Saccharomyces cerevisiae S288C: one gene and its partner. The protein of the gene in region 1 binds, or shares a complex with, the protein of each later gene. Each region holds a gene or a part of one and is shown on either strand. Other genes may lie near its edges. The genes, in order: INP2 and MYO2. A codon is read from its position in the direction of its gene.

Region 1 (3,932 bases):
CAAATCCGGTTGTTAGTGATATAACATCTCAACAGCAGTACATGCATATGATGATGCAAAGAATGGCGGCTAACCAGCAATTACAAAATAGTGCCTTTCCTCCAGACACTAATCGTATAGCGCCAGCTAACAACACTATGCCATTACAACCAGGAAATATGGGGTCTCCTGTCATTGAAAATCCAGGTATGAGGCAGACTAATCCATCCGGACAAAACCCTATGATCAATATGCAGCCCTTATATCAAAATGTTTCTTCCGCAATGCATGCGTTCGCTCCGCAACAACAATTTCATCTACCACAACATTATAAAACCAATACTTCAGTACCACAAAATGATTCTACCTCCGTCTTTCCTTTGCCTAACAATAACAATAACAATAACAACAACAACAATAATAATAATAATAATAATAGTAATAATAGTAATAATAATAATAATAATAATAATAATAATAATAATAGTAATAATACACCCACAGTATCACAACCATCATCAAAATGTACTTCTAGCTCCAGCACAACTCCTAATATAACTACAACAATTCAACCCAAGCGGAAACAGAGAGTGGGTAAAACAAAGACCAAGGAATCAAGAAAAGTTGCTGCAGCTCAGAAAGTTATGAAATCTAAGAAACTGGAACAAAATGGTGATTCAGCTGCTACAAACTTCATCAATGTCACTCCAAAGGACAGTGGCGGTAAGGGTACCGTAAAAGTTCAAAACAGTAACTCGCAGCAACAACTAAATGGCTCTTTTTCTATGGATACAGAAACATTCGACATATTTAACATTGGTGACTTTTCTCCTGATCTAATGGATAGCTAAAACCTATTAAACAACAAAAAGTGTTTCATCGTCATTCTTCCAATACTAACCGTTGCATCTTTTCTTTCATATGAGTAGTATGTTTCTAATTTGAATCTTTAAGAAAATTGTTTGTCTGTATTTGTCGGAACGATTTTTGGGATCATCGTTCAGTGCAGGTGTATCGTTTCTCAAATGAAGTGTGAAACTTACTTCTCACTTAGGTTTTCAAAATAATGGCATATAAAGATGGTCTAACATCTATACATATTTTTGACCAAGCAGGAGTCAATCGTTAGAGTAAGTGAGTATATCAGTTTAGTTATTTTAAATTAGACAATGTAATGGAGGGGTGCCAGTGACACTATATAAAATAAAAAAAAAATTTGCATCTGGTGCGCAATAGCGTTCTTGTAACCAAATTTCTATTCCGGTCGAATTTAAACTAGCAAGAAAATAGGTAAGCAAGCTATCTGGCCAGCTAAAAAGACGGTGCCTCAAAGTTTTCGGAATTTTTATATTTAATTCCTAACATATTTAGAGAAATGTAGCATACTCTTTATACAGAATTCTCCAACTTACTATGGTTTCGTGGTCTAGTCGGTTATGGCATCTGCTTAACACGCAGAACGTCCCCAGTTCGATCCTGGGCGAAATCATTTTTTTGAAGACATCCCGCATGAAAACATCAAAACGTAAATAAAAACACTTGATCTGAAAATAAACTAAACATTCATCTTCACCCAATATCATAAATGATTAGGTGACTACCGGATACTAGACGGTTATAGGAGTTTTATCAAAGGTCAAAATCTCACCCCCTCAATAACTGCTCGGCATACCTCACGCTTATTGCAACAAGTTTGTTTTTACTTACTTGTGAAACGTTTGTTGATTAACTTAATAATGACAACAAACTCACGTCCATCCGCCTTGCAGGCTCCCGGTTTACAGATTTTTTCCATGCTGAAATCAAGCGAAGAGGATGGATTCATGAGTTCTAGTCTAACCCTTGATAGTGATAACATAATAGGTGTCACCGAGAACAATCGTCAAGAATTTTACTCTACGTGGCGAAAACCGTCCCTATTAAGCAGCCGCAGCGTATTACATGAATACTCCCCTACAATTGTGGGATCTAATGACTGTACTTTTTCACCTATAACCGTAGGAAAAACAACGAAGTTTTTTAATTGGGATGATATTATTTCAAGAATTTTCATGCAACAGCCATTCGGTGTAACACACCAATTCTTTGAAGAATTTCGGTATTCAATCATTACTTCTCATTTTTTGAATGATATGAATCATTACAGGTTATCACTACATCTTGATCAATCTATTATGAACTTTCATAAAAGCTCAACTTTGTTAAAGAATGTACCTCCCAAATCTGTACCATTTATGGCGACAAAATATGGTAAATTGGCGGTAGCAGAGGACAAAAAATTATATTTCAGACAAAATTTCAACTACCTTTCGATGATTATAACCTCTTATCGAGTACTTACACAGTTGAAAAAATACTGTAGAAAAAAAAATAGTCCAGGTCTGAAGAGAGTTGTAATTTTAATACTCGTAGCAGTGTATTTATCAATTCAGCAAGAATACTTTCGAAGACATTTGATTTGCTATAAAACCTTATTAAAGGTACGGAAAGTGCTCGAATCATTACAACAAGTGGATGTAATGATTCATAAATATCATCTTCGATTTAAAGAAATAAAAAATCATAGTTTTATATCAAGAGTGTCTCTTATTTCAATTGCTGACGAGCACTCATCTGTGATAAAAGAGCTCCTAGTATTCTCAAGTGATGCACTGTTTTATAAACTCAAATCAATCATTCCAGATATTGTCATCTTTAGCGATACAAGTGAGCTATCGAAATACTGTGAATTATACGGTATCGATGTACCAAATCTTTACTATAATAATACTACCACAGTAAAAGACCTTGATGGTAAGCTTTATCGTCTCAAACTGCTAAAGAAATTTATGCTCTGTTGTTTGCTGTCTTTAGATATGACAGGAAACGAAAATCTTTCAAATGTAAACATGAGAAACGCACTAAACAAAATCTTTCCAGATTACATGGCAAGGGTGCAACTCAAAAAAAAATATAATCCAATAGGTACATTCCAAAATATAGTTAGTCTATTAAGAGGATTACATTCACTACTCTCCACTGTCCTGGTGTCTTTGAATGACCATAAGCAAATATTGTATGCATTTCCTGAAGAAACATCAACTAATACTGGTTGTGAAAGAGCAAATGTATGTTCATTTTCAAAGAATGATAAATTGTTTCAGGCACTTAATTACTTAAAAATGATCGAGAACAATCTATTAGCTATTGACATTCGAAATGGCATAACAGAGAATGATAGGAACATCATTGAGGATAAGTTGGAGGAGCTCATTACTTTCTGGAAAACCTCGAAAATTTGTGGCAATATTTCTAGGATACAAAAGGTATCCCCAACCAATACAATCAACCATGGTTTCCATCTGGATATCCTCAAAGGCAGAAAGTCACCCCGTTCTTCGTCAGTACAAGGTCTTAGCTTAGAGAGGAAAGTTGACTTCATTGATGTTGCTGAATCGGTGAATGACTCTTTTGAAAACGACACCGAACTAGAGGAATATGAAGACTACGACTGTCAGGAGGAATGTTCTGCCGGTTCACGCCAAAATCACCGCGTAGATTTTATCGGAAAGGATAGTTGTAGGAAACCAGATTTCAAGCAACTTTCTGACAACGAATTACGACGCAAGTTAGATGAAAGAATTTTGAAATTGGCTCAAGAAAACCGTGAAGGCAGGGAAAGGCTAAGAACTGCAAAGTCCTTTGAATTGCTAAGAAAAGCTCAGGCTTCCATGTCCGTAAAGTTTGGCTTTCAAAAACCATTAAGAGACGATGCCTTTCTTGAGAGCAGGCCTCTCAGCAAATGCAAAGTATCTTCGGAAGAAACTATCCCATTTTTGTATGAATTAAAAGGATTACTAGGAAATGATTCATGATAATATATTTTAATATGTACTTTGAAATAACTAATTACACTTTAATCATATTTTCTAAATAAGCAAATGACGGGCTGCGCAGCCGGGTTATTTTCGACC
Region 2 (3,932 bases), on another chromosome or scaffold:
GATCATACTTTTGGATAGTTTTTTGAACGTTGTTTTCATTCTTGATTATTGTATCGTTTAAATTTCTTCTCATCTCATTCTCGATCTTCACTAGAAGTGTCGAAATATGATTTTGATAATAATTCAATTCATCAATGTTATCATTCAAATTTGAGTTGCTCTTCGAAATAGAGTTTGAGCTAGAATCAGGAGTGGCTGCGGAGCCATTATTATTGTTCACCTTCAGTACACTCTTGAACCTAGTGGAAGAATCCGCTGACTTCTGCCTATTCAGTAAATACTTAAATCCCAAGGTATCGGTGCCAGGTGCAGTGGAAGAGCCTGATGAATTCCTTGGTTTCCTCTGGTTAGTCAAATATCCTAAAGAGGGATATACACCGTTTAAACTTCTTCTATCCACATCTTCTGAATCTGATGAGGTGGATGACGTGGACGAAAAGGCTGATGACGACAAAAATGCTGGTACATTAGAACGGGAATACAGAAATGACGAAGAATCGTTGACAGCAGAACCGTCCAAATCATGATAAAACAAAGATGTGCTGGGGGAGGAGTTTACGGAAATTTGTGATTGAGAATGCATATTCCCTAATTTAATGCCGCCAGCGGTGGATGAGGGCTCAAACACTACCGACTCCCTCAACGTATCAAATGGGTCTGAATTTCCCAAAGAAGGCTGTAAAAATTGGTTAACCAATCGTTTCCTCTCATAATCAAAAGAACCAGCGGATGATCTACGTTGCGAAGAGGAGGAACCCTGTATTTGATTGAAAGCTAGCCCAGTATGACAGCTTTGGAAAACGGACATCGAACCACGACGTCCTTTACTAAGGCAAGACAATCTGGCCCTATTAGAGTTGAAGTCGGTTTTCGGCGACACTCTGAATGGATCATCCAAACTGGATGCCCCACTATATGATCTACTGTGTCGACCTACTCTGTTATCGATGTCATCTTCAAACAAAAAATCGCTAAACTTCCCGGTTTTGGTCGATCCCAGGACAGGTAAGCTAGTCATTTCCAATGAACGTTGTCGTACCCCATGTGCCCTATTCTTTGTCACATATAAATGTCTCCTATCATGCAGCGCAGGCTGTTCCTCCTTTTCTTTCTCCCTTTCCTTTTGTAACAACGATCCCAAGTTTACTTCAGTGCTTGGTCTTGGGACCACCGGATTATCATTCACTGCTATGACAGGTAATCTAGAAGATGATTTCGAAAAGTGTGCAACATTTGTTTTAGCTTGTAGAGGTTCCGGCTGCGGCTGCGGCTGTAGACCGGATTCTTTTATCTTCACTGCGTCGCCACTGGAAGCCCTTCTTCCCTTACAAAAGCCTCTTGGGAATGAAGGAGGTAACAGGGTACAGTTCCTCGATCCGGGATTCTCCATCCGGTCAATTAGCAAGTTCATTTTCACTTAATGTATCAACTATAACTTAAACCAAAAAAAAAAAAAAATTTAGATATGGGAAGGTCTTTTCCTCCACAAATAGGGTGAACTATCCGACCCAGATCAATAAATAAATAGGCTCGAAGACGCCTCAGAACTCCGGTCACTGGTTTGTCTTGTTGATATACGATGTGCCAAGCGCCGTTTCTCGATGCTTATCTGGTTTAGTTTACGCTGTTAAAACCAAAACCCCAACAGATTTTCGACCCTAACGTATGTAGGGCTAAAATAGATATTGAGTAGGTTACAATTAATTATTGGCAATTGCACCTAGTGACACATTTACGAAAACGTAGGGCAAAAACTATTACCCGACCCAGGGCTATTTTGTGATTTTTTCCTTTTTTTTGTTTATGATCGCGCTTCTCGAAAAGCCAAATATCAGAAATCCCAAACACGCCTTCATTTGATACGATTCGTAGCCTGCGTTTCAGAGATCTATCAACTTTGCAAGGCCAATCAGAGAACAAAAAAGTCTCGCAAAGTCATTTCACTTTTCTCGCTTGAAATTATTCGTTCGATTTCTGGCTGCTTGCTTGTTTTTTGTTTTCTAAGGTACTATTCGACACCATTCCATTGGACAGCGATACTTATACCATTGTACATATAGGACATAAAAACAGCAGATATTACAGCGTATAATGTCTTTTGAAGTGGGTACACGATGCTGGTATCCCCATAAAGAATTGGGCTGGATTGGGGCGGAAGTAATCAAAAATGAGTTCAACGACGGCAAGTACCACCTGGAGTTACAATTGGAAGACGATGAAATCGTGTCCGTGGACACAAAAGACTTGAATAACGATAAGGACCAATCTCTACCGCTTCTTAGAAACCCTCCCATTTTGGAAGCAACGGAAGATTTGACCTCTTTATCTTACTTGAATGAGCCAGCTGTTTTACATGCCATCAAACAGCGCTATTCTCAATTGAATATCTACACATACTCGGGTATTGTTCTGATTGCTACAAACCCTTTTGATCGTGTCGACCAGCTTTATACACAAGACATGATCCAAGCATATGCGGGAAAGCGCAGAGGTGAACTGGAACCTCACTTGTTTGCCATTGCCGAAGAAGCGTATAGGTTGATGAAAAATGACAAACAAAATCAAACCATTGTGGTAAGTGGTGAATCTGGTGCTGGAAAAACGGTTTCTGCCAAGTATATTATGCGTTATTTTGCTTCTGTAGAAGAGGAAAATTCCGCTACTGTACAACATCAAGTGGAAATGTCGGAAACAGAACAAAAGATTCTAGCTACAAACCCTATCATGGAAGCATTTGGTAATGCTAAGACTACCAGAAATGACAATTCTTCCAGATTTGGTAAGTATCTAGAAATTTTATTCGATAAGGACACATCTATTATTGGAGCAAGGATCCGCACATACTTGTTGGAACGGTCCAGATTAGTTTACCAGCCGCCAATTGAGAGAAACTACCACATATTTTATCAATTAATGGCTGGATTACCAGCTCAAACCAAGGAGGAATTGCATCTTACCGATGCCTCAGATTACTTCTACATGAACCAAGGCGGTGACACCAAGATCAACGGTATTGATGATGCCAAAGAATACAAAATTACAGTAGATGCATTGACATTAGTCGGAATCACCAAGGAAACTCAACACCAAATATTTAAGATCTTGGCCGCACTTCTGCATATCGGTAACATAGAAATTAAAAAAACTAGAAATGATGCATCACTATCAGCTGATGAGCCAAACCTGAAACTGGCGTGCGAATTGCTGGGAATTGATGCCTACAACTTTGCCAAATGGGTCACCAAAAAGCAGATCATTACAAGGTCAGAGAAAATTGTTTCGAATCTAAATTATAGTCAAGCTCTGGTTGCCAAAGATTCCGTGGCTAAGTTTATTTATTCCGCCCTTTTCGATTGGCTTGTGGAAAATATCAACACCGTGTTATGCAACCCGGCTGTGAACGACCAAATTAGCTCATTTATTGGTGTTCTGGATATTTATGGGTTTGAACATTTTGAAAAAAATTCATTTGAACAATTTTGTATTAACTATGCCAACGAAAAACTACAACAAGAGTTCAACCAACATGTTTTCAAATTAGAGCAAGAAGAATACGTTAAAGAAGAAATTGAATGGTCTTTTATAGAGTTTAATGATAATCAACCTTGTATTGATCTGATTGAAAACAAGTTGGGTATTTTATCACTGCTTGACGAAGAAAGTAGGTTACCTGCTGGTTCCGACGAATCTTGGACCCAAAAACTTTATCAAACTTTGGATAAATCTCCTACGAACAAAGTATTTTCTAAACCAAGATTCGGGCAAACTAAATTTATCGTGAGCCATTATGCTCTAGATGTCGCTTATGATGTGGAAGGATTTATTGAAAAAAATAGAGACACCGTATCTGACGGACATTTGGAAGTGTTGAAGGCTTCTACCAACGAGACACTAATAAATATCTTAGAGGGATTAGAAAAAGCTGCCAAAAA

What was found.
Region 2: the proteins of INP2 (region 1) and MYO2 are in contact, whole or in part, in a crystal structure (PDB 6IXR), measured with the Saccharomyces cerevisiae proteins. Residues at the interface, in NP_013886.1 of Saccharomyces cerevisiae: His532 (codon at 3,309), Gly533 (codon at 3,312), Phe534 (codon at 3,315), His535 (codon at 3,318), Leu536 (codon at 3,321), Asp537 (codon at 3,324), Ile538 (codon at 3,327), Leu539 (codon at 3,330), Lys540 (codon at 3,333); in NP_014971.1 of Saccharomyces cerevisiae: Ile1206, Ile1207, Ser1210, Trp1213, Arg1214, Gly1216, Phe1261, Phe1264, Ala1265, Ser1268, Ile1269, Phe1275, Gly1278, Met1279, Glu1283, Tyr1287, Phe1542, Asp1543, Gln1544, Val1545, Glu1546, Ala1547, Val1565, Val1569.

What each region holds. Positions count from the first base shown.
Region 1 is NC_001145.3:584,172-588,103, reverse strand, and holds INP2 (Inp2p), read left to right. Parts: upstream 1-1,715; coding exon 1,716-3,833; downstream 3,834-3,932. Other genes in the region: MSS11 (Mss11p), read left to right, coding at 1-830. UniProt on the Saccharomyces cerevisiae protein: Required for peroxisome inheritance. Acts as the peroxisome-specific receptor for the myosin V motor MYO2.
Region 2 is NC_001147.6:923,630-927,561, forward strand, and holds the start of MYO2 (myosin 2), read left to right. Parts: upstream 1-2,091; coding exon 2,092-3,932. Other genes in the region: FRT1 (Frt1p), read right to left, coding at 1-1,411. UniProt on the Saccharomyces cerevisiae protein: Myosin heavy chain that is required for the cell cycle-regulated transport of various organelles and proteins for their segregation.